Linked DNA regions of Drosophila melanogaster. The protein of the gene in region 3 interacts with the protein of the main gene of each other region in a pairwise test. Each region holds a gene or a part of one and is shown on either strand. Other genes may lie near its edges.

What was found.
Region 1: the proteins of CG14442 (region 3) and Archease interact in a two-hybrid assay, tested with the Drosophila melanogaster proteins (one large-scale study listed by BioGRID).
Region 2: the proteins of CG14442 (region 3) and sip1 interact in a two-hybrid assay, tested with the Drosophila melanogaster proteins (one large-scale study listed by BioGRID).

Annotation. Positions count from the first base shown.
Region 1 is NT_033777.3:21,659,910-21,666,354, reverse strand, and holds Archease (archease), read left to right. Parts: upstream 1-3,382; 5' UTR 3,383-3,490; coding exon 3,491-3,545; intron 3,546-3,611; coding exon 3,612-3,636; intron 3,637-4,135; coding exon 4,136-4,526; 3' UTR 4,527-5,169; downstream 5,170-6,445. Other genes in the region: Jhbp16 (juvenile hormone binding protein 16), read right to left, coding at 1-102, 219-516, 567-777. UniProt on the Drosophila melanogaster protein: Component of the tRNA-splicing ligase complex required to facilitate the enzymatic turnover of catalytic subunit RtcB.
Region 2 is NT_033779.5:5,717,600-5,725,220, reverse strand, and holds sip1 (septin interacting protein 1), read right to left. Parts: upstream 4,171-7,621; 5' UTR 4,086-4,170; coding exon 3,977-4,085; intron 3,926-3,976; coding exon 1,647-3,925; intron 1,584-1,646; coding exon 1,452-1,583; 3' UTR 1,277-1,451; downstream 1-1,276. Other genes in the region: CG11030 (uncharacterized protein), read right to left, coding at 1-1; CG11149 (uncharacterized protein), read left to right, coding at 5,259-5,710, 5,791-6,820; CG34011 (uncharacterized protein), read right to left, coding at 7,154-7,536, 7,594-7,621. UniProt on the Drosophila melanogaster protein: May be involved in pre-mRNA splicing.
Region 3 is NC_004354.4:6,687,775-6,698,133, forward strand, and holds CG14442 (uncharacterized protein), read right to left. Parts: upstream 7,228-10,359; 5' UTR 6,183-7,227; coding exon 4,629-6,182; intron 4,340-4,628; coding exon of another isoform or gene 4,304-4,339; exon of another isoform or gene 4,299-4,303; intron 4,245-4,298; exon of another isoform or gene 3,908-4,244; intron 3,581-3,907; coding exon 2,030-3,580; 3' UTR 1,522-2,029; downstream 1-1,521. Other genes in the region: CG3184 (uncharacterized protein), read right to left, coding at 1-966; CG14440 (uncharacterized protein), read right to left, coding at 9,555-10,359.

The DNA of each region.
Region 1 (6,445 bases), on a different chromosome or scaffold from region 3:
AAGTTCTCAATGTGCAGCTCCATTCCGCCGATGCGGTCCACCTCCACATGGACCTTGATGAGTGAGCCCGGACCGCCGATGCGCCTAACGCTGGTGGTTTGACTGAGGAAGTAAATAAAGTGAGCGATAGGTTGTCATGTAAGCCAAAAGCTATCAACAATACTGGTGTTTGCAACACAGCTTGGGAAATACATATTTCCATGCAACTCGGTGCCCACCTGTAATCGTAGAGGGTGAGGTTCCAGTGGCCTTTTCTGTTCATCTCAGTACCCAGCATCTTGGCGGCGAACTCGTACTCGCCCTCCAGACTTTTGTCGGGGAAATACTGAGTGTAGACGATGCGCTGGTCCTCTGGATCGGCATGGAACTTGGTCACCTCGGATCGCGCCCATCCGTACTCGGATACATTGCGCAATATCAGACGAAAGCTGCCCAGACCCTGTGATTCACCTCGTCGCAGCTCAACGTAGCTACAGTGGTGCGGGTCAAAGGGCTTGATGTTGTAGTCGGGCACACCTGAAAGAGTTGCTCCATGATTGCTCGCCCGTAATCCACATCTCACTCACCTGTTGTGAAGTAGGCCCTTAGGTCGTTAAACACCTGCCGCATGCACTCGTTGAAATCCTCGTCCGACCAGTGGCAACGACCCAGCAAGTGCTTCAGATCCGTATCCACGTCGATTTGGCTGGACGCGTTTGCCAAGTGGTTGGCAAAGAGCGAAATCCCCGCCAGGTAAACCAGAAGGCGAGCACAGTTTGAGAGCGACTGTTGCGACATGCTCGTGGTTTCAGTTTAACAGCAACTGTTTGTCTTCTGTTAATTTCAAAGGTAAATGTACGTTATGTTTTTATTGTCTTTATTGTTTTGAGTAAACTGATTTTGTGGGCGTGAAGAGCAACCGGTGTTTGTTGTTTAAAGTGTCCTTGTCTTTTGCATACAGTTGATCGTCTACTGAGTTGTTATTAGTTAGTTAGTTATTTTTTCTTTTATTGATTTATAAGTAGTTTATGGTGCTTTTTAAGTTCCTTGATTTCAGGTAAATTTCAATAAGTTAGGAATATGAAAGGCATTAGATAGGCATACAAAATTAAGCAAAAAAATGTATCGCTGAAAGTATATGTTAGCCATCGGTTAGTTGTTGAATCTTCATTACTACGAAAAATGTATTTGATTTAGTAATTGTTAAATACTTTTGTATAGAGTTGTAATTTTTCCAAGATAGTAGTTGTACAGTTATCATACGAATTTTATATTTGCATGAAACTTAAAGACTTATTATTATAATTGCCATCGTAAAGACTTCTCCTAGCACCGAAAATAAAAGACACTTCTTTCTCATCGCAAGCTATTCAAACAGCCTCATCTTCATGTAGTTCGTTTTGTAATCTTTTTGTTCGCCGCATGCACTTGACCCCTTTAACTTAAGCTCACCGACTATTACTGGGCTGAGTACTGCAGCAAATAGATAGCGTAAAAAGAAAACTACAAACATGACAAAATCGTGCGTTAGTATGGAAGCATGGTAACAGTGGTAAACGAAAGACTTCAACAAGACACAAACTTGGGGGTGCGAACAACTTTTAAATCCACTTAGAGGCGGCAGCCAGTCATGCAACGCGAGAGCAACAACGTATGATAATATTTGGCAATTCTTCAGTTTAGCGGTTGCATTTGCAACCAAGTTGACCAACGGTCAGTTATTTAACAAAACAAGTTACCTAGCTACTTAGTTTAGTTGAGTTTTCCGAACTCCCGAGCTTTAGTTTCACTTCCAGGCAATTTACTTCTGGTTGTTCCAAATATATAGTGTAGCCAAATATGAAATTCTGGAACTCGTACGCAAAGGCGCGCAAATATTCGAGAATAATAATAGCTTTACAGTTATTTGCGCCGAATACGCGACGTGAATCAGGCGAGCTCCCGTAGCCAACTGAACCACTCGAAGACGTAGGAAACCAGAGAAAAAGAGCTTCCACCAAAAGTGGCAGCAGCAGCCAAATGAGCCATAATAAAAAAAAAACCACAAAAATAGCAGGAAAATGTTTGAAAGCCATAATATGGCCGGGCACAAAATTGAGCTTTGTCAACTCGGCTTAGAGTTTGACACCCCCAAGTCGCGTTTCCTCATGTGCAAAATGAACAAAATTGAACAAAACGGTCGTAAATCACCAGCAGAAATCATTCATAAATTCCTTTAGAAATGCGTAGAATCATTTAATTGACCGAGATGCGCACTAACTGATAACCATTACTTAGCAAGTTATTATTAATATTATTTCATATAATTTTATAGCATGTTTGATAATAATTCATATTAATGTCCCAAAAGGTGAACAAAAAGTAAATACAAAATTCATTTGAAATAATACAAACACTTTAACTATAAAATAACTTTTCATTTCTCTTAACACACTAAATATTTCTTGAACTTTACATCAACGAGTTGAACGACCTTAGAAATAAATATTTCCTTCGCTGTCTATTTCAAACAATAACCCATCACCGCTGGTTGAAAAGTGATCTGAATTTAATGAGGCAATATTTATTAGACAATCCCATGTCCGTCAATGGGTATTATTCAAGTATGAAATCAAGTACTCACAGCCAGCGCTCAAGTTCATGGGATTGAATAAATCAAGCGACGTGATTGACAATCGTAACGATTGACGGCAATGCTGCCGGTAGGCCAGAAGAAGATTTTGTGGACTGTTTCTTTTGGCAAATGAAAATACAAGGTTGCAGCTTCAGTTGTTATGGCTGATTGCGATTTAATGAAAGGACAAGGTCGCTCTTACAGAAATTCAAAACTGGGCTGAAAACATGCGCCAGCACTTTGTAGCACTTTAAGTGCGATAACAAATGGTGGGCATAAACTGGAAATTCTGCTTTAATTTTGCTCAAAATTACTTAATTTTATTACAATCACAGCCTTTAGCACAATTTTATTTCTTTCGTTCTGTAACGTTTTTAGATATATTTTTTTTAACTAAAAGGGCCGTGGGAAGCATTTTGTAAACACTTTATTAAAGGAGGAAGCATTATTTTTATTTTTCTTCTCTTCTGATGTTGGAATCCTTCCCATTTGACATGCATATTTAAATTACAAGTTTTTTAAATTACAAAGTTAAAAATAAATGAAGCCTTTAGGTATTTTTAGATATTTTTAACAATTTCGAATTTAAAAGCTTGATAGAAACTTTTATCTTATAATTCAATCTTTATAATTTATAGTTTACTCTTTATTAAATAAAACCCAAATATTTCTTACAAACAATTTTATACATTTTATTAAAATTTGTATGTTAACATTTCCCGGTTTGAGCTCAGTATTTTCTGTAATTTGTATGTTAACAATTTCTTATTGGAGCTCGGTATATTCCTTTCAGTAGGTATTTTCCCCTGCGCATAGATGGTCACACTAAGCGGTTGCTGGTTTGTTTATAGTTTTTGTCCGCGAATTTTACTTTAACTTTAGCTATAACTAACAATAATGGAGGTGGAATTCAGTAGGGAGAACTTCCTGCTGCCGGAGATGAAGTACGAGTGTGAGTAGTTCTTCGATTTGCAGGAGAATAATCTGTTGCTAAATATTTCATCACATTGCGTTGCAGACCTGGATCACACGGCGGATGTTCAGTGAGTAAGATAACAACAAAAACAACAAGTGTGCCCGTTAGCCATGTGGAGTAGGGTGGTTCGCTATTTGTGAATGAAAAATCCAGATGATCGTATAAACTAGATTCTAATAAGCGCTTTCGTATTAGAATTTGAGATATAGCAAACATTCTGAAAAAGAATTTATTTTAATTTATACATATTTTAAAGCCATTATAATTTTTCATATTTTCCCAAACCTATGTATTATGTTCATAGTTAGGGAATACGGCTTTTTAAACGTCAAATGTATCTGCTTTTTTGAAGATTATATGTAATGCAAGTTTTTTCTGACTTTTATATTATACTACTATCGCTTAAAACAACAAGACTATTATTAAGTAGTAGATCATAAATAATTCTTTTACTACGCCACTAAAAGGCAGCAGTTTTGTATATAAATTATAACTTACGGCTACAATAGACATAATTAATTTACTTAATATAAACGGATGATGTTGGAATCCTTCCCATTTGACAGAATCCACGGATGGGGATCGTCGCTGAAAGAGGCGTTCGAACAGTGCGGAGTGGCCATGTTTGGATATATGACCGAACTGGATTACGTGTCCGTGGAGCAGTGCTTTGAAATCGAAGCGCATGGAGATGATCTGGAGAGCTTACTCTTTCACTTTCTGGACGAGCTGCTGTTCCTGTTCTCTGCCGAACCGTATCTGGTGTGCAAGAAGCTGGAGATCACCAAGTTCGATGTGGAAAACTTCGAGATTTCCTGCCATTGTTACGGGGAACCATTTGAGCTGGGGAAACATCCGCAGGGCACCGAAGTGAAGGCAATCACATACTCGGCCATGCAAATCATTCAGGACGTGGAGGCCAGCAACTACGAGGTGTTCGTGATAATTGACATTTGATCCAGCGGCGATCGCCGGGAATTAAATGTGACTGTTCTGTTTCAACCCCTTTGCCTGTCTCCATTAATCATAAGTGAAATGCCAAAAAACGATATAAAAACCGCTGCATAAGCCCCGAAAAATTTGCAATCTCTCGTGCTGCGACTGCATCCCTTGTCGATGAGGATGACTTATCAAGAAACCACTCGATTGTGCGGCTGCAAATGCAATTAGGACTGGCTTCCTTCTCACCGGTCTGATTCCGGAATCAAGATTTACCCTTTTGCCTTCGAATTTTTTGTGTACTATTCACTTTTTTTTTGCCCACTGCTTTGTGAATTGGCAACGTGTTGAATTCCCAGACAAATGCCGAATTTGTTGTCCTTTCCCAGGCCCCAGTTCAATGCACTTTTTATTCGGCAGCCTTCAGGAGTTGCTGACGCGTTGGGTTGCATTAAAGAATTAAGTTGTACTTCTTTTTGGGGAGTCATGTCGAATAGGGCAGTTAACAATGCAAGTCAAGGCCATAGTTTTAATGTTATGATTGACTTGATTTGTTCGACATAAAGTATAGAGAATGCGGGGCCTAAAAACACAAACATATTTTTTTATCAACAATAATTTAGTTCAATGAATGTAAATCGTAATAAATATCTATACGATTAAGCAATCCCTAATTCTAAATATCAATCCACGACGATATCAACAAATATTAACGCTTTTCAAAAAACCGATTTCCTTTGAATAACGCGCTATTCTCGAATCAGTATTATTCGGATGATTTTCGCGTGAGCCGATGTTATTTAGTGGCCGATGAGCGAAGTCAGCTGGTAACACCGAGCGATTTGTTTTGAAACAGCTGACCGCACCGTCAAAACCCAGAAAGTAAACAACAAAAAAAACATTTGCCGGGCAACGTCGCCCAACATATGGGCCCGTTCTTGTATTTGTGTGGGTGCGTGCGTGCACGAGTATGATGATTTTTCCTTGGAACATCGGGCGAAGAACGGCGAACTGAAAAATATACGCTTTTACAGCTGATTGATATTAAAAAAAAAGCAACGCTGCGGTCGACGAGCCATACGAATGAGCGTGCGAAAGAACAAACAAAGTATGAAGGCAAATAGCCCGCGGACACACACGCACACACAAACGGCCAGTTGGTCGATTCGCTTTTAGCTTTCAGCTTTTCGAGTGCGTCAAAGTTAAAGTGGCTGAAAAACTTGGTAAAAGTACCAATCGCCAAACTGACTACAAGACAACAGTTATTCGCGGTTATATTTGGCGGAAAGTGGGTGGCACACACGTCAGTCGCCCGTACCGCTGTTTGTTGTTGTGTTTGCTGTTGCTTTCCAATTCGCCCCGCCAATTCGCCGCACCGCTCATTCTTTCTGCAGCCACCAATTGTCATGGTGTTAAAGTGAAGAGGAAGCAGCAGCCCGTGAGCACATTGTGCGCTAGTTGTTGCCGTTTTACACCCAGAAATCGCGGAGATATCGCCCTGAAAGCCCAACCAATTGACAGGTGACGATCTCACCTATAATTTGCGATCAAAAACACAAAGCTAACCCAAGGGGAACCTAGTGAAAAACGTGGCCGAAAAATCCATACGAAGGCGGAATGGAAAAAATGTGGTAGGTAGTACTAGAAGTAGAGAATGTGACATGTGTGTGTGTGTGCATGGTTGTGCGTGTGTGTGGGGGGTGCTGCGCTGGGCATTTTCTTTATAACAGCGGGCCGCAAGCGAAACAAAAAACAACTGTTTTTGGGCGTGCGCCCAAAACGCCGGCTAAAAAAGTACATATGCAAAAAATTGCATGCCGGTCCAGCTGACATATCACCTGCATCAAGAATAAGACGTATGATGTGAGTAAAGTGTCGCGGGCGGGGGGAAGAGACAACCAAGGGTGCTGTATGATAATGCGCACTTTATATAATTG
Region 2 (7,621 bases), on a different chromosome or scaffold from region 3:
TTTTGATGTCCTTTTGCGGGTGTCCCGTTAGTGAGTCCTCCTAATCCAACGGATATTTCCGTGCCGGTTGTTCGGCGAGCGGTAAATTTAGCAGTGGGAGCTGTTAGAGCGAGACGCCAGCAAAACAAACGAAACCAGCTACAACAACTGAACTTAAGACGCGAGAGAGTGGCGCACGTGGTGGAATCACTTTTGTTTTAGTTGCGCTTTTATTGCACCGCCTGTCGAATTCATTGAATTTGGGGGGGAATACGCACGCACACACGCACTCACGACTGCATTGGCGAATAGTGTGGGCGAAGTGCAACGAAAGAGCGGGAGAAGCGAAACGAAAGACACGCGGTTTCAATTTGCTAACAGTGCCTATCGCGATAGGAGTGCTTGTGTCTTGGTTTTACAATTAATTGTATTGCACTACGCGAGCTTCAGTTGACTGCACCGTTTCGAACCGCATCTGGCTCACTACTTGCTTGCTTTGCGTGCGCCAAACGAACCGAACGCGAACTCAGTCAGTTTATTCCTATTTCCACGACGCGTTCTAGAGTCAGCTGCGATGGCCAGAGGTGGCAGCGGGCCGATGACAAGCCGATACTATCGATGTATTTATCTATCTATCCATCATCGTTGCCCGGCTGCGGATATCGATTAGTTGCATGGGCCGCTCCGGTTTTTCAAACATTATTTCCATATTTTTGTAAAAAAAGTTAAATGAGAAGAAAATAATAATAATAATAATAATAATGTATAATAAATGTGCGTCAAATTAGCGACGATAGCGGAACGGTGGAAATTGGAACTCGGGGACTTTTTTTTTGCGAATTGTGTCCCGCTGATCTAAACTACCGTGTCCCTATAGGCTAATAGGCTAAGCCTAATTATATAATGATCCTGAAAAATGCTTTAAAAATTATCCACCGATTTCCAGAAATCCGCCTCACAGCGAAGGAGTTTAAATTTATTTAATAATGCCGCCTTCTCTAGCACCACAGCCAATCCATGTCATAAACCACATTATTAACAATCAAATTTCGACTTTAAAGATTTATTAATCGGTTCAACCAAAGACACTAAAGATACTTCTAGTGTACTTCTACTTCAACGCGCACGTTACAAACCCATGCTCCCACAAAATAAATATATACCGAAAAATACTGCCAGTATATTTACATCTTAAATTCATGGAGCATGCAGCTCGGACCCAAACCGTGGTGAAAAACTTGGATGTAATCATATCAATTTCAAAAATATTCAAATCCGTTTCAATTTTATACAGAATAATATATCTGATTACTTTTACATATATATTTAGACATTTGCTTATATCTGCAGAGCCATCTCATCATACAATCACCTTATATTACAAACTTATTAGGGAACAGCAAGAGCTAAGCTTCTGATCCAATCCAATTAAACATTTTCCAAGCCAATTAAACATTTTCGCAGCTATTTATTTAAAGAATTCCCGTTTGAGAGCGTTCTAGCAGATGATTTAGCGACACCGGCTTCCAGTTGCTGAAGCTGCCATCGCTGACCATGCAGACGTGACGATCGATGTAGCAAAACAGCTTTCCCACACGATAAATCTGTAAATGCAATAAATCTATTAGTATATAACGCTCTGTGGTCGAAAATGGATTAACAGTCACCTGTTTGCCCATCTCCCGTCGCCCTGGCAGAGGAGCGAAGATGATTCCCAAGTCGGCGCATTGCTGCGATACCAACTCTTTGAACTCCAGCTGAGCGGGCGGATGAATCAGGTCCATCATTATGACTGGAGCCGGAGGAACTGGAGGCGGGGGCGTGGGCGTCACCGTGGGCTGCAGCAGGGTATCGCTGGCTCTGTGCATAATTTCCAGTGCTCGCCGCAGATGCTCTTTAACGCTGGGCTCGCGCAGAAGCGGTTCGCTCAACATGCTCTTCCAGCCGGTGTACCATCGCGAGATCTCCGCGTAGTCCGGCGACTGATTCAGCCAGACGACGAGCACTTGCATCCAGCGCGGGAAGAAGTGTCTGTCCAGTAGTTGGGCCATGTACATGGGATCGATGAGCTCGTGCCACTCCCATACCTGCTGCCACAGCTCCAGGTCCTGGTGCATTGGATTGATGATGAGCTCGCCTAGAGTCGCCTGCAGTTTGGGCACTATGTACCGCTGCAGGAACTCTTGCATCTCTTCCTCGGGGAAGGCCTTCTGCCAGGGCGTAAGCATGGCTCTGGCTGATCGGTCATGCGGTGACCAGGCGCGCAATGCTATACCCAATTTGCTGCGGATCTGAGGATAGACGGCCTCCTCCAGCTTGCTGCCCAAGATGGCATGCCACGGCAGCACCCAACTGTCGATCGGAACGGTGTCGGTGAGCGGATCCCACTCCTGGACACCAGCCACCAGTCGTGGCAGAACCAGTTGCTCGAGAACCGAATCCAAGACCCAGCTAGGTAGCAGGGGTGCCCAGGCATCTAGGAGTGAAGCCATTGGCGGATGCTCCTTCGGCTGCCATGCGGCAGCGCTGGACCGAAACGAAGGCATCACGCCGGCCCAGATGAGCGAGGAGTACGGATCGAAGACGTTGCGGGGCTGCTGCTCTGCTGCATCTCCTTGCTGGAGCATGCCGCGCCATTTCTTGATGAGTGGCAGCGGTTCCGTTGGGTTTTCCAGTGGCTGCCACTGAACTAGTTCTCGCTTCAGGAGCGGCGCTATTACACCGGCTGCCAGATCTGCAAGTCCGAACTCATGGAATTCGGCAGCGTAGTCCACGAGCAGCTCCCGAAAGAGTCGTTCAGCCTGAGGTAAACTCAAGTCTGGATTATCGATTAACCGCTCCACGCGCTCCAACGATTCCTCCAGCGTGCGTATGTGGTTTCGTTCTAGCTGGACTATCTCCTCCAGTTTCCGGTGCTCGCTTTCCAGCGCTGCCTGCTGGCTGGAACACTCGCGTTCCTGGTTGTCGATGGCGATGATCTGCTGCTCGCACTGGCTAACCAAGAGCTGGAGGTTGTGCGTCAGCTCGGGCATGGCAAAAACGCAGGCGGGAGCGGATCCCTTTTCCGTCGCCTCCGTGTCGTAGAGCGTCTCCTCTGGCGTAATTTTTGCCTGTCCCAAGGCATGATAGCCACTCAGCACTCGTTTCTCTGGGCCTGTCATATCGATCACCCGCACATTGCCCAGTTTCTTGCTTAGCTTCTCCGACAGTAGGTGGCCGGACGTGTGACCCTTGGCAATCACCTCCTCCACGGACTTGTAGTAGTAGCGCTTACCCTGCCGCTCCATTGGTTCGGCGCCACCGGCTGAGCCCTTTCGCCACTTGTTCAGCTGGTCTTTGAACTCTTTCGCCTCGCGCACGTCCTCATCCACTTTGATGCTCTTGTTCGTCTTTCCTCCGATGCTTGCCGCAGTTTCGGGTCCATAGGCGCCGATAGCACCTCTGCCCTTGCGGACATGGGCTTGCACAGGATGCGAAATGCCCTGCAGATCTTTGCCCAAACCCTTGCCAGGCTCATAGCCCATTTGAAGGAGTAGCTTAGCTCCAATGCCGCGTGTATGCTGCTCCCAGGCGCCCACGTTGCGCTCGCTGGCGATGTGGGAGCGATGCTGAAATGTGGTGCTTGGCTGTTTCCGGCTCAGCGTTGGCCTCTCCTCTTCTGATGAGCTGTTGGAGCTGCCCGGATCGTTCTGGCCGAAGGCTGGCCGTCCGCTGGCGGCGGAATCGTCGCTCTCCTCGCCCTGGTCAGCCTCTGCTCCCTCTTTTTGCGATCCTTTCTCATCATCGGCTTGGAGCGCCTTCTTCTTCTTTTTGCCCGCCTGCTGAATGCCGCCGGCCACAAAATTGACGGGCATGGTGTAGTCTTTGGGTTTACGGGCGGCGCGCCCCCTTCTCTTAGTTCCGCCCTCGCCACCACTCTCCTCCTCGCTGTCATCCGCCCAAATACCTACAGAAAGTTCGTTTACAAACAAATTCCGGCATGTATTTCAATACATACCGTAGATCTGTTGGTGCCTGCTCTGGCGGCCTCGGGGCCGATTGATGTTGAACTCATTGTCCAGATCGTAGTCCGTTATCTCGAAACGCTCGTAATCGTTGTCCGACATCCTGGCTAGACGTGTATATATTACTTACAGCAGAAACTGAAACTTTTGTGAATGTAAACAAACGCACCATTGACAATAGGGATGGCCCTAAATTAGCAATTTTATCGATAAGAAAATCGATACAAAAGTACTAAATACTAACTTTAGTACACTATTAGTATCGCTTATCGGCGCCAAAATAAATTTAAATTTTTTGACAATTGAAAACCACAACTAATTGACTCAATTACCGAACTATTATTAGTTTAGTAAGTTCATTCCTAACAGAATGAGCTCCCTTTTAATTAGCATAAGTACGCAGTATGAAATACTTGAGAATCCGATTTCAAAAGAAAACTATTTTTAGAAAATTTTTTTAAAGGTATTTGATTATAGTGATAAGATATTAAAATCGATAAAGTAAGAAATACATGTTTATGCCGCCTAATCGTCTGTTGACCATATATGTATTTGGCTAACACTCGATTAGCGCTATCAATTGGTTACGTCTACTGAATTGTTATGATAAGGATAGGAAAATACGACAATATTGATAACTAGACGGATAAGAAAATCACTTGAACTATGATAGCTTCGCGGGAACTTCAGTAATTTTAGTCTGTTTCCATTATTCATCGCCGAATGTTGTCTGTCTCGTTCGTGAAATAACTTTTAATCTTAACAGAAAAAAATCCCTCAAACAATTTGCGTCGTTTCGTACGTCATAAAATGGGTTAATCTTTAATGTGCAAACTCTTGTCGATGGAAATGAAAGTGTCAGCCGGTAAAGTGAAAAGTTGTTCTCTGTGTATGGTACCATAAATGTCACCGTTTTTATCAGAGTACGTAAATCATGTTTAGTTTTACTGGGTAAAAGGAGGTAGTCATCTTCATTGTTGGGCAGCCCCATTATCAGAACATTATAAAACATCGATGAACCCCCTTGCATGCTACCACATTACATGGAATCTTATCGGATGAGTACAGCACTAATTTCAGTTCATACAATAGGCCCAGTAAATTAGACATAACTACAGACAAAAAGCTCAGTCGCTGCCATAAACTCTTCTTTCGATTTCCATATCCATTTTCAACGGAATTATATCAATATTTCTGTTTCCGTTCACAGGTCAATAAGTTCTTTGTGTTCTGTTAGTTAAGGAGTTCCTGTGAATCAATGTTCTCGAAATCAGCATGGCGACCATAAGTTTTTGCAATAGGAAATATGTCCGTCTGTGGCCAGTGCTCATACTGTTCAATGTGGCACTCCTGCTGGTTTGGAGGAACCTGCAGCAGGCCCAGAAACTGGCCGCATCTTCTAATACTGGTGGGCAAAAGTCGGTAGGACTTTTGCTGTCCAACGAGTCGAATCCCTCACGTTTTTCTGCAAACTTCCATCTCGCCAATGATCAGCATCCGAAAATAATCCGGCGAGAGGACTCCGCTCGCACCAAGGAATTGCGATCATTGCTCAAGTGCCGCGACCGATCGCTCCGTTTCGAGAGGCTTCAGCACGGAGAGTTCTGGCTGCTTCAGAATCTTGTCATGGGACGAAAGAGTCGGGAAGTCGGCTGTGCCGAGTCCGTGACGTATACCACCAACGGGGACTTTACGTTCTTCGATAATCTGGAAATGGTGGTATCACGGTGAGTGCTCTTTTATCTAATAAACACTTAATAGCAATCTATAAAGATTTCTTTGCTAACTTAATTTACTTATTTTCCAGTTGGCGTGCTCCAGTTAGTTTTGCCATCCACACTCCAGGTTATGATCTTAACACCACACTGGATGCCATTCGGTATGTGCGAAACTGTTTGCCGGAGAGCGATAGCATCAAGGACTGGGTCTCCTTTCACGTGTACTTCCCAAATCAGCACATGCCGGAATACGTGCCATATGACGAGGCCGAGGTACTAATGTATCCGCACATGTGCACCCTGGCCAATGGATCGTTGGTATCGCCGCTCTACACGCAAATCCCAACCACGGATAGCTACAAGTCAAGGGCCAACCTCACGTACCCCATCAATGTGGGCAGGAATATAGCCAGGCTGGCGACCAACACCCACTTCATCTTTGCCTGCGACATCGAGCTGTATCCCAGTGTGGGCTTCGTCGACCAATTCCTGGACATGGTGGCCAGAAACCACAGTGTCCTTGCACTGGATCCGCGGCAACGCAGAAGGGTGTATCCTCTACCCGTTTTCGAGATCGAAACGGGCGCCAAAGTGCCGGTAGACAAGGACGAATTGTTGGCCCTCTATCGAAAGCAGCAGGCGCAGGTGTTTCACCTGAAGCTTTGCCCCACATGCCACACTATTCCTGGCCAAGAAGAGTGGCTCAATCGAACCTCTCGAGCCGATGACCATCTGCACGTGTTTAGCAAGGCGCTGCGAAAATGGAAGTTCCGAGCCTGGGAGCCCTTCTATGTAAGCGATAACACGGAGCCACTGTTCGACGAACGCGTCACGTGGGAGGGTCAGTCGAACAAGCGCATACAGGTGAGTTACTACTGTAGTCAAGTTTCCGTTTCACAGTGCAACCTTTTATTGCAGAACTATGCTATGTGCCTTTTGGACTACGAATACCATGTCTTGAGTCCCGCATTTCTAGTGCACAGTCCTGGGATCAAGCAATCCAGCAAAGCTGACTCCACTCGTCTTCAATACGCGAAGGAAATGACTAAATTTATTAAGAATAAAATCGAGCCCGAATATCGTGTGCTCTTCGGAAAGAACTCAGCCTGCAAGACGTGACATTACTTTGATAATATAACAAATAATGTAATTAATGAATTTATGCCCCATCTAAGTTATGCCTTTATAGGAAAAAGAGTCTATTCTTTTTACTACTTAAACCGAGTAGTATGTATATTTTGAACTTAATGCTCACTGCTTGCTATTCATCAATGTGAAAATATATTATATTTTATACAATTAGATAATAAGACCTAATGGATACAATTCCCTATACCTTGGGAAACTGATTGCTCCGCTGTTTCATGTAGTACAATATATAGAACATAAATTTTAAATTAAATTTTTAAATGCATTTTAAATTCTTCAGCAAAATGGCTTTCACATAATTGTTTAGATTGCAACTCTTTCCTTGTGTAGATAGTCTTCTTTGATGGCATTGCGTAGTAAAACTTTTGACAAAAGCTCCTGCCGCTGAAAAAATTCAGAGGACTCTTCATAATTTATATTTTGTGGAACGTTGTCATCAGTTTTTTCATCCTGCCACCACTTCGATTGTGGCAAATCCCACAATTTTTGCCCGGCTTTTGGCATTACGTAAATAATTATTGGCTGTTGTGAGATCGGATTAATAGATGCCATTTGCTTGGATTGCACTCCGTTTGTTACGGGATTCAAAGGATCTGGACCGTAAAGTCGTATATAACGTTGACTCCGCACTAGGAACATTATTTGCACGAAGGCAATCAACGCCAATGTGTCGTAGGCCACAAGCACTGAAAAAAAAAACTGTTATCTTACACAAATGAGGCTAATCGAATTTAGTTGCTTACTTGCGTAAAATGAAAGGGCAAGGGTCAT
Region 3 (10,359 bases):
GGCCCCGTAGCAGATGCTCTTATGCTCCTCATAGGCGCCCAGTAAACTCAGGCCAGGTGCCGCGACATCCAGCTGCACCACGCTAAAGTTGGTGTACATGCAGGCGGCCAGGATGAGATCGGGCTGGGCAGGATGCGGCTTCAGCCTCCAGATGCCTCCGCTCAAGTCCAGTTCCGCCAGTGATCGCTTCATCGATCTGGTGTCGAAGAGACGCAACTGCTCATCATAGCTACCCGTGAGCAGATGGTTTTCGTGCCGCGGATGACTTAGCAGACAGGTGACTCCAGCCATGTGCGCCCGGTTGGTCCACGCACGCTGCTTGGTGCGCAGATCGTGGGCCATGAGCAGCATATCGTCGCCACCACTGTACAGAATGTGCGGTGACCAACGATCAAAGGCACAGGTCCAAGCCTCAAAGCCATGGGACAACCACGACCGTTCGCGGATTATCTCACCCTGTGATGAGTAGCTCAATAGATTTAGGCCGCCTTTGGAATCGGAGATGGCCAGTCGGATGTGCTGCCCGTCATGTTGCCAGTCTAGGGCCAGCGCCAATGGCGCTTCCTCCGACGAATCCTGCTCCGCCAGGCTAAAACACGTACGCCTCTGCAGTAGCTTCGCATCCTGGAGAAACTCGTACAATTCCATCTGGCCTAAAGAGTTGACCGTGGCCAGGTGGGGATTACACTCACTGCTCCAGGCCGGCAGCCACTTCATGTCGAGAATGGCAGACGTTTCGATGCACTGTAGCCGCTCCAGGCGGCAGTTTTCCTCTTCAAACTGGTATAAATAAACGCGACCCTTGCGTGGACGCTTGGCTGAAGTCTCCGCCGCCGGCTCGTCCTCCTCCTGGACCAACTGATAGGTGCCGCAGGCAAAGAAACCCGTTGCCGCATCATCGTGTGTCAGCCACTCCACAGAATCTGCCGAATATTCCGTATCCTCGCTGTGGAGCGTTGTAAACATGTTTATGAAAAGATGTTATCAGCAATCGATAACCGATAGCCACTAGCTGACCATCTGTCCCATACATCGCTGCCAATCGACCGTGTTGTTTTGTTCTTATTAGATTTATTTGTTATTTTGGGCTTCTACTGATAAAAATCTGCAAGACAAACAGTAAAACGAAGAATAATCTAGGAGTGGAAAACAGATTTTTTGCAAATCAATAGAAAATTGCCAAACCAATAAAAATGTGAAAAAATATGAACACATTTTTAAAAAGTTAATTATGATTTTTATACAGATCCTCCAGAGCTTTTCCATCACCTGCACGCTGACAACCACTACCGTAATGAGTAGGAATAGAAAGAAAGAAAGGCTGCCTTTGGAAAAAATTTCCAGCGGATGTGGTGCGCGTCATGCGCGTCATGTGCGCGCCAGACGTGCAACATGCAAAAACACGTTCGCCTCTGCATTTGCTATCGATAACCGATAGCCACTGGCTGACCACACATACATCCCATACACCGCTGCCATTGACCGTTTTGTTTCGATCTTATTAGATTTATTTGTTATTTTGGGTTTTTTTTTTGCTTTTTTTTTGCTAATTTAAAAAATTAATAGTTAATACATACAACTACTTAGTGCTCTGTTTACGCGCTACATATTCTGGATTAGGTTTAGTTGGATCTCCACCATCGATCGTAGTTATCTTTTTATTTTAGCTGCATTTCTTCGATTTTCAGTGGCTTTCGGGGCGTCACAGTGTTTCATTTCATTTAGCTTTCTGGGTTTCCGGTGGACTTTTGTGCCTGCCAGGCATCCGTATTGCACTTGATCCTTGATCTCCGCTTACTCTGACTTTTTACAAAATCTACCATTGAAGTACATTAACACTTTAAAAAACAGATTAAAAAAAAATATACGCTTATTGATAACTATAGACAATCCCTACTGTTCGCAGATATCTCCATCGTTTGTGCGTCCAACGCCTGATATTCCGGCGGAAATGGAGGCCTGGCTAGCACGTCATCCACACATATCCCTTCTAGCGATTGGTGCTGCGACTGTGACGCCTCCGCGAACCTCATTTGGTCTTCATCACAATGATTGGCTCGAGTATCTTTAGCATGTCATTGTTTTCGGGTGCTCCCGTTCCACTGCCGCCGCCAGAACCAGCAGCTCCTCCTCCGCCTCCACCGCCGGCTGCATTTGCATAATCCTTGACCGTCTGCAGTTTACTGAAGCCAGGATGCTGCTGCTGATGGAGCTGCTGCTGCTGGTGCTGACTGATGGTCACCAGGCGGTGCTGCTGGTTCAACACAATCGCCTCGTGATGCGGATGCGGCACCAAATGTTGCTGCTGAAGGCTGCCGGCAATCTGCTGCAGCTCATGCTGCTGCAATTGCAGCGCCGGCAACTGTTCGTGATCGTTGGAGCCATCGCCACCGCCCAATGGTGAATCGTCGTTGTCGGCCTTCACCACCGAAACGAAGCCACCATCACTGCCCGTGCCAGTGACCGAAACGGCTTCACTTTCGTACATATGATGCTCGGCACTGGTGTCATCGTCCTGGCACTCATCTTCTTCCTCGGTTTTGGCACGGAACTCGGTGCTGGTGGCGCTGCTGCTGCGCGGCGTGTGGCTGCGCATGCGTCGCATTCGCGCATATTCCGCCTGCTTGGACAGTCGCTCCTTGCGCTCGTCCGTATTCTCGGTGGCTCGGATCTGGGCCCGCTTCAGTCGTGCCCGTTCGCTCAGCTTCTGTAGACGCGTGGCCCGCTGCTCGGGCGTCTCATTGGCACGCACCGCTCGCTGGTGTGCGGCCATCTTGTCCAAACGTATTCGCTTCTCCTCCTCCGTCTCGTATTTGTTAGCACCGCTGCGTCGCGGCGTCAACACTGGCGTTCGACTGTCGCCATCGGCCGTGGAATGTACATGAATCTGGCTGAGCTCCTGATGATGTTGCTGCGATGCCTGCGACAGTGGCCTGCCGCGACGCGGCGTACTGGTGGCCAGCTGCGGTGCGGACAGCATCTGATTGAGCTCCTGCTCCAGCAGACTGTTCACCTTTAGCTGCTCCTCGCTGGGCAACGGATTCTTTCGCGGCCTGCCCCTGCCAACAGGTGTGGTCACAATTTGTGGCGCCGCCGCCGACGACGCGCCTGTCTGTTGTTGCTCCTGCTGTCCCAATCCAGTGACCGTTAGCGTTGGATTCGCCGCCAGTATGTTATACTGTCCGGGACTATTGCCACCACTGGCGTTGGCAAAGTTGACGGGCGTAAACGGCGGCGGCACTGCATTCGGCCCGATGCCAATCTGGAAGCCATTGTGGTACATTGGATAGTAGGCGGTGGTGGTTGTACCGCCGGCGCCCGTTGTTGTACCCGCCGTTACCACGCCCACGTGTCCGACATTGGTGGTACTGGTGGTGCTGTTGCCGCTGCTGGTGGTGTTAGGGAAGGTGGCCAGGTAGGGGAATTGATTATACAGCTGCTGCGCCTGGCCGGGCGTCGCCTTAAGCAGCTTCTGTTCCCCGCTGGCCGTCGTCACGATCACCTTGGTCTCGTTGTGGCCGAGGCTAACAGACCCGCTGTTATCATTGCCGCCCGCTGATACCGTAGCATCGTTGTCCGACTGCAAGAAGGGATAGAAGGGATTGGCAAGCCAACGGGTGAGTCGGTTTGATTCTGCGGGTTATGGGACTATCGGTTTGGAATTCTGGTATAAATCTTAATCTTCGCAATCACAGCAATCTTCGGTAATTGAATTTTACAAATCATTGCAACCTAATTTCGTAATTTGAGTGATAAGATTGATTGATGTGATTGAAGGTGGTCTTATAGATTGGTTTTCGAAAAGAACCGAGTGCGAGTGATAGAGCGAAAGGGATAGATGGAGGACACACACACACACACACACGAACGCACACCTGTACAAGGGAATTAAAACCACTTTTTGTTTGTTTCTGGTTGGTAAAAGTATTTTGTTCTTAGGTTCAAGATTTACATTGCTACATATATCTACACTCTATACGATTGATTAATTCATTTGCTTCTGACCAAAAAAAAGAACTAACACAAGTAATATGAACAACGAACAATAATGTTAACTGAAATAAACTTATACGATTTTCGCTTTTGATCAAAAGAGGAGTTAAAATGCGGGTAAGGCAACGCGCAAAAAAAAAGAGAGGTCCATTGGCCGCTTCTTCTGCCAATTTCCATTGAATTCTATATATTTTCAAAATTCCTACTTTCCGGTTTCAAGCATTTTCCTTTGAGGCAGTTGATTTCGCCAACTGCAAGGAAAATATTTGAAATTTACGAGTATTGGCAATTGTTTGATATTTTACCAGCGCTACGAATTTGTATTCGATTCCAAATTCCTCTGCAACTGTAAAAATCATTTATTGTTATTATTCAGGAATCAAGCTAAATTAGGCTAATCATGTTTTGATTTTACGTTTACTGGAAGTAGATAGTGCCCTTTTTTTCTAATACCGATTAGATTTCAAATAAATAGTGTTTCTAGATAACAAATTACATTGATGGATTCATGGGCAAGATGAGGTTCCTGGAGGATGCCAAACTTTAGTTTTGCTGCGTTACTTTGTGTGTGTGTGCGTGATTTAGTTGCTATCGCCGATCATTCTTGCTATCTACTACGCCTACTGCATACGCACCTGAAGTTCCTGCTTCTTGGCAGCATATTTGTGCGGGTAGAGTTCCAGCTGGCCACCGGCGATGCTGAAGTGCGGCACATGGGCCTGGAGCAGCTTTGCGGTGCCCTTGCCACCCTCATCGCCATAGATCTGCTGCACAAAGATGCTGCCCGGCTCGGTGCCCTCGAGCAGAGCAGCCGTAACCTGTTGCTGCTGCTGTCCGGTGATGGTGTATCGCTGATGCTGCTGCTGCAGCTGCTGCTGTGTAATCTGCTGCTGCTGCGGCGTCTGTGGCTCCTGCTTCAGTTGCATGGGTGGACGTAGGGAGCCGGGCGCCAGAAACATGCCCTGTCCCATATACTCCACTCCGGCCAGGGCCTGGTGTTGCTGATAGGCGGCTGCTGTCACCAGATGCTGCTGATCCTCCGCGGGCTGCGGGGTGCCTGCCTCGTCCGTTGTCGTCGTCGTCGCTGTGGTGGTCGCCTGGTTTAGATTGATAGTGTGTTCGTTAGTACAATTGGCTGCCGCCGCTGCTGCGGCTGCTGCTGCAACAGCCAGCACCTGCTGCTGTTGTTGCTGCTGCTGTTGTTGCTGCTGTTGCTGCTGCTGCTGCTGGTGGTGGTGCTGCTGGTCCGTTGACGACGAGGAGGATGTCGGCGTTGAGACGACCACCGACGACGAACCACCGTGCACCACAACATGCTTCAGTACCTTCTTCTTTTCTCTGACCTTTTTGGCATAATCGTTCAGCTTTCTCAGTCTTTCCTTCCGCTCCTCCGGTGACTCATTGGCGATCCTTTGGCGCGCCCTTGCCGCCATTTCTGCCAGCCGGAGCTTTCGCTGATCGTTCGTCTCGCTGGCGCGATACATGCGCATCCTTTCGGCCAATTTGGCCAGCCGTTTGGCCCTCTGGTCCGGCGACTCCATGGCCCGGCGTAGCCGTTGCCTGGCCGCATTCCTCACTAGCCGCATGGCCCGCTCTATGTCGGATTCATTCTGGCGTCTCTGGCGATTGGCTTCTGCATTCCGGAGTAGTCGCTTGCGATACTCCTCCTCGCTCTCGCGCTGCCGGCGTTCCCGCATCCTTTCAGCATTTCTGGCCAGACGGCGCTGGCGTGCCTCGGGGCTCTCGTTCCACCTCTGCTGGTGGCCAGTGGTGGAGGCACCTGTTATGGATGCGGAACTGGCACTGCTGGTGGGTCCCAATGGAGTGGGTGGCTGCTGCGATTGCTGCTGCTGCAATTGCTGTTGCTTCAGTGGTGCATAAAGCTGGAGATGCTGTTGCTGGAACTGCAGTTGATCCTGTTGCTGCTGGTGAAGATGTTGCTGCTGGAACTGTTGCTGTTGTTGCTGATGCTGCTGCTGCTGTTGTTGATGTTGCTGCTGTACGTGCTGCTGCTGTTGTTGCTGCTGTTGCAATTGCAGCTGGTGATGCGAGGAGAGTGGTACCAACAAAGCTGAGGGATGCTCGATGAGCAGGCGGGCATTGGAGCCATTGATGGCCAGCACATGGGTGGCGTACTGCTGCTGATCAAGTGAGGGCTCTATTTTTATCCCATTGGGATCTGGTTCCATTCTTGGTCAAAAGCCGGGGCAACAACAATCGAAATTGTCGTCTATCGGGGCTCCAAAAGTGTACTGTTTGTTATGTATATATATATATTTATATATATATTTATAGATATATATCTATATATGTGTATATAGACGATGGGTATTTGGTTATCGAAAGGATGAGCGCAGTCCTTCCGATTGTTTCGATAACATCTAGGGGCCGCGCTCTTGCTCGCCCCCTCTCTTTCGCACGCTCTGGGCCGTCTCCCGCTCTTTTTTTCGTCCGCTGCTCCTTGGCGTTTCCTCTTTGTGTTTGTTTTGTTTCGCTTTTTGCTTACTAGTAGTTATATAAAGAATATGTGTGTGCTGGCGCCGTTTCTCTCTCGCACTCTATTTTTGCGGCGATCACTCCGCTATTGTTATTGTGGTCCTCGGGCATTTCTTTCGTTCCCTTTTTGGCTATGAGCGGTATTCTTCTTCTCCATTTTTAGCATTATGCACTTTATTACCGTTCGTATTTGGCCATTACAATTTTTCGTGCGTTTTCATAAAAGCGTGCTTCTTCTTGCGAGTCAGTGACAATTGGCGCCGCCGCCGCGCTGCTTCTGCGCTGCCAATCGATTTTTCACATGATTATACACACACACCCATGCAGCCGCCGTCCGCACACACAAGCACGCACTGCTAAACACACACACACACACGCGCAACGAAGCAATACGCAACGTACGTGTGTGCGAGTTTTTTTCCGCTCCTTATTTTGCTTTTTGCACAAACCTTAACCCTTTGATTTGTAATTCCATTTATTCGCCGTGCTGCGGTGCATCCAGGCGCCTTTTCTCTTGGTGGGTTAAAAGGATGTTCTGTGGCGGCGCAGCGTTAACTTAACTACCGGGAATTTTCCACATAGCTGGGACCAGCGTATATCTGCCACTTCCGATCGCACCGTAATGTCATTAACTTGAAGTATGCGTACTTGTTCGCAATCCGTGGTACTGTATCTTTAATTTAATTTAATTCATCTTATTTCAGTTGTTTTCATTTCAACAATCGTTCTGTTCACAGTAGGGATGGTAAAAAGTATCGATACATCGATAGTTGAGCAGGCTGTCGATTCATTGGAAAATGCAACTGATTAACCGATGTTCCGCTTGAAATATCGCCCGGGTTTATTTTACAATTTGGAAATTAGTCTTGCAGGCAGATAATATTTATATTATTATTTGGCTGCAGTTTTGCAGTACCATATTACAGAATATATGTACTATTTTTCCATACTTAATGTTATAGTTAGATCAGCTTGTCGATAGCTTGATGTTTGAAATCGATTTTTTAAAAATCAAGCGTAACGTCAAGACATGGATAATTCTATTTCAATTGTAACAAATTTTCGCCTCTTGGCCACACTGTTTTAAAGCTTACTTTACATAACAATCAACTATGTTATGTTATGTTAACAGGGCATTAACATTCCAAAGCTTTCAAATCTTTTTGAAATGAATAAATGCGATTTATAAAAGTGAATTAAACTATTTATATAAAATTAGAAACTATATTATTTCCAATAAGAGCATTTCGTTGATAATCGTAGATAATCGTATATATAATAGGATTAGTTCAGTAGCATGTGCTGAATGGAGTTTGTAAATTATTTATATTTTATATTTAAATGTATTTTAGATGGGAGTTTTTAATTTGTTTAATTGCTGTGATACTTAAATGTACAACAAGCATACGGATGGCGATCCTGAGAATGGGACCCACCCTTCAGGTTCATCGAGGACATTCTGTCAGATTTGAAGGAAATTTTCAAAATTGTAGTGTTATTATCAACCATTCCTGATCATTTCCGGTTGATAACGCTTTTACTTTTTTTTAGATTATCACTATTCCCTATTAAATTCCCACCAAAGCTCAGAACGCAGCATTTAAAAATTGTGAATGCAACTTTATTCAAGTATATTCATTTTGTTATTCTCGTTTTTTTTCGCTTATATTTTTCTGTTTCTGTTTTCACTTTCTTGGTGTTGTGTTTTGTTTGTTGATTTTTCTTGTTGTGTGTTGTCATTGTTAGTGTACACGAATATTACAATACACAAAAATGTATCTCAATCTTATGTCTTAAGGCAAAAAACAATTGATAAACGTATTTAGACAGGAGAAAAACAATTTGAAATTTCGACTAGAACTTAATGGTTACACTTTATTAATAATAATTAGCATAATATATATATATACATATGTATATATATGTATATATAAATATATATCATGTATATATCATGTGGGCCCGCGCGGAAGGACATGGGCGTGGGAAGAGGCTGAGGATATGGATAAGGATAAGGTCTAGGAAAAGTGGGCGGTTGGATGTTGGCTGGGGAAGGGAGGAAGGATTGCGTGCTTTAACAAATATTGCGTTATGTGCCTGGCTACGGATCATGTGTGTATGCTCCAACTATATATGTATATATATATATATATATATATAAATTTGTATATATACATATATTTATGTGGGAGCTGCCGAGTGTGTGTATATTATCCTTATGTGAGTGGCGCTGTCCGTTTTGGGTTACATGCCTTTACCAACTTACACACACATATGGGGGTTGTTCGTCACTAGGGTGCCTCAGTTGTTGTGGAAAAATACGATTTTTGAATGTTATAGCAAGTTTCGCCCGAGGATTTCCTCGAAAGGCACTTGTTGCCTCGTCCATCCGCGATGCTCAGTAATTATTTTAATATTTAGTTTTTCGGGTTTCTTTTTGTTAAGCTTGGGAGGTGTACCTCCAGTCGTTGGCGATTTTCCCTCCGTTTTTTTTTTTTTTTTATTTACAGTGAGGCACCCTGGCGCTGTAAGCTTCCTTTTTCCTGGGGGAGTGGGGGATATTACTGCCCTTTTTTGGGGGCTCTATATGTGTGGCAATGACTATGCTAGTGCATGTGTGTGTGGGGGTTGGGGGTGTGTGTGTGTCTGTGTGTGTGTGATTGGTTTTTGTGTCGTGTGTGTATACATATCGTACGAATATAATGCATGCATTATAAAAATACTTTACTTTATGATTACATTACGTTACTTCATCTTGTTAATTTTTAACTTAAAAAAAAAAATTGCCTGGCTTTAATCCTAGAGTGCCTGCTGCCCATTCATTTGCAAGTCCTCAAGAATCCTTCTGGTTTCGGACTGGTTTCCTTATCTCAAACTTTTTTCTTATAGGCTGTATACAATATATATATATGTTTATATATATATATAATTTGTAGATGTGTCTGTGTTCCTCTGCCGATCCTGGCCAGCTTTTAGGGCTGCTCGGCCAAGCTGCTCTGCCGGAGAGCCAGCTCCAAATGGGCGTATTTGCCTGAATCCAGGCTAACCGATTATACGATCCTCCATTAGTAACCCTTTAGCCTGTCGGCCAGCGGCGGCTTGATGACCTTGGGCGCACTGGCCCGGGCGATTCGCATCCGTTCGGCGGCCTTGGCCAGCCGCTTCTTACGCTCCTCGACGGTTTCCGAGGCGCGGCGCAGTCGCTGCCGCGCTGCATTCTTCATCAGTCTTAGGGTTCTTTGTACTTCCGTTTCGTTCTGGCGTCGCACTCGATTCGCCTCCGCATTCTTGGCCAAACGCACGCGGTACTCGGCCTCCGATTCCTTGGCCCGTTTGTCCCGCATCCGGGCGGCGTTTCTCTCCAGCCGCCTTTCCCTGGCCTCAATCGATTCGTTGCTTCTCCGGCGGGCGGCCTTTTGCGCTCTCGAGGATTGGCCCTGCTGCGTCACTGACTGCTGGGCGCTGAGATGTGGCACGCCAAGATTGGCAAGACCCGGAACGCCACCAAGTTGACTGGCCTCGACCACAACGCCAGCGGACAAATGATGATGCAGGGGGTGCTGCTGCTGCTGCTGCTGGAGTACCTCCTGGTGGGGATTGCCCTGCTGTTGCTGCTGCTGCTGCTGCTGGTGGGGATTACCCTGCTGTGCGAAATTGTTCTCGAGGCTCAGCACCGCCGTTCCAGACGCACTGCCACCGCTGTTCGCTGCACTTGCTGAGGCACTGGCTGCGGTTCCCGCGGATCCTGATCCCGAACCCGAACCGGACACAGATACGGAGGTGGCTACGGATGAGGCAACGGCTGCCGCCGCGGCCGCCGAACTGGTATAGTTGTTGTACTCTAAGAGGCCCCGATTGCCCGAGTAGAGG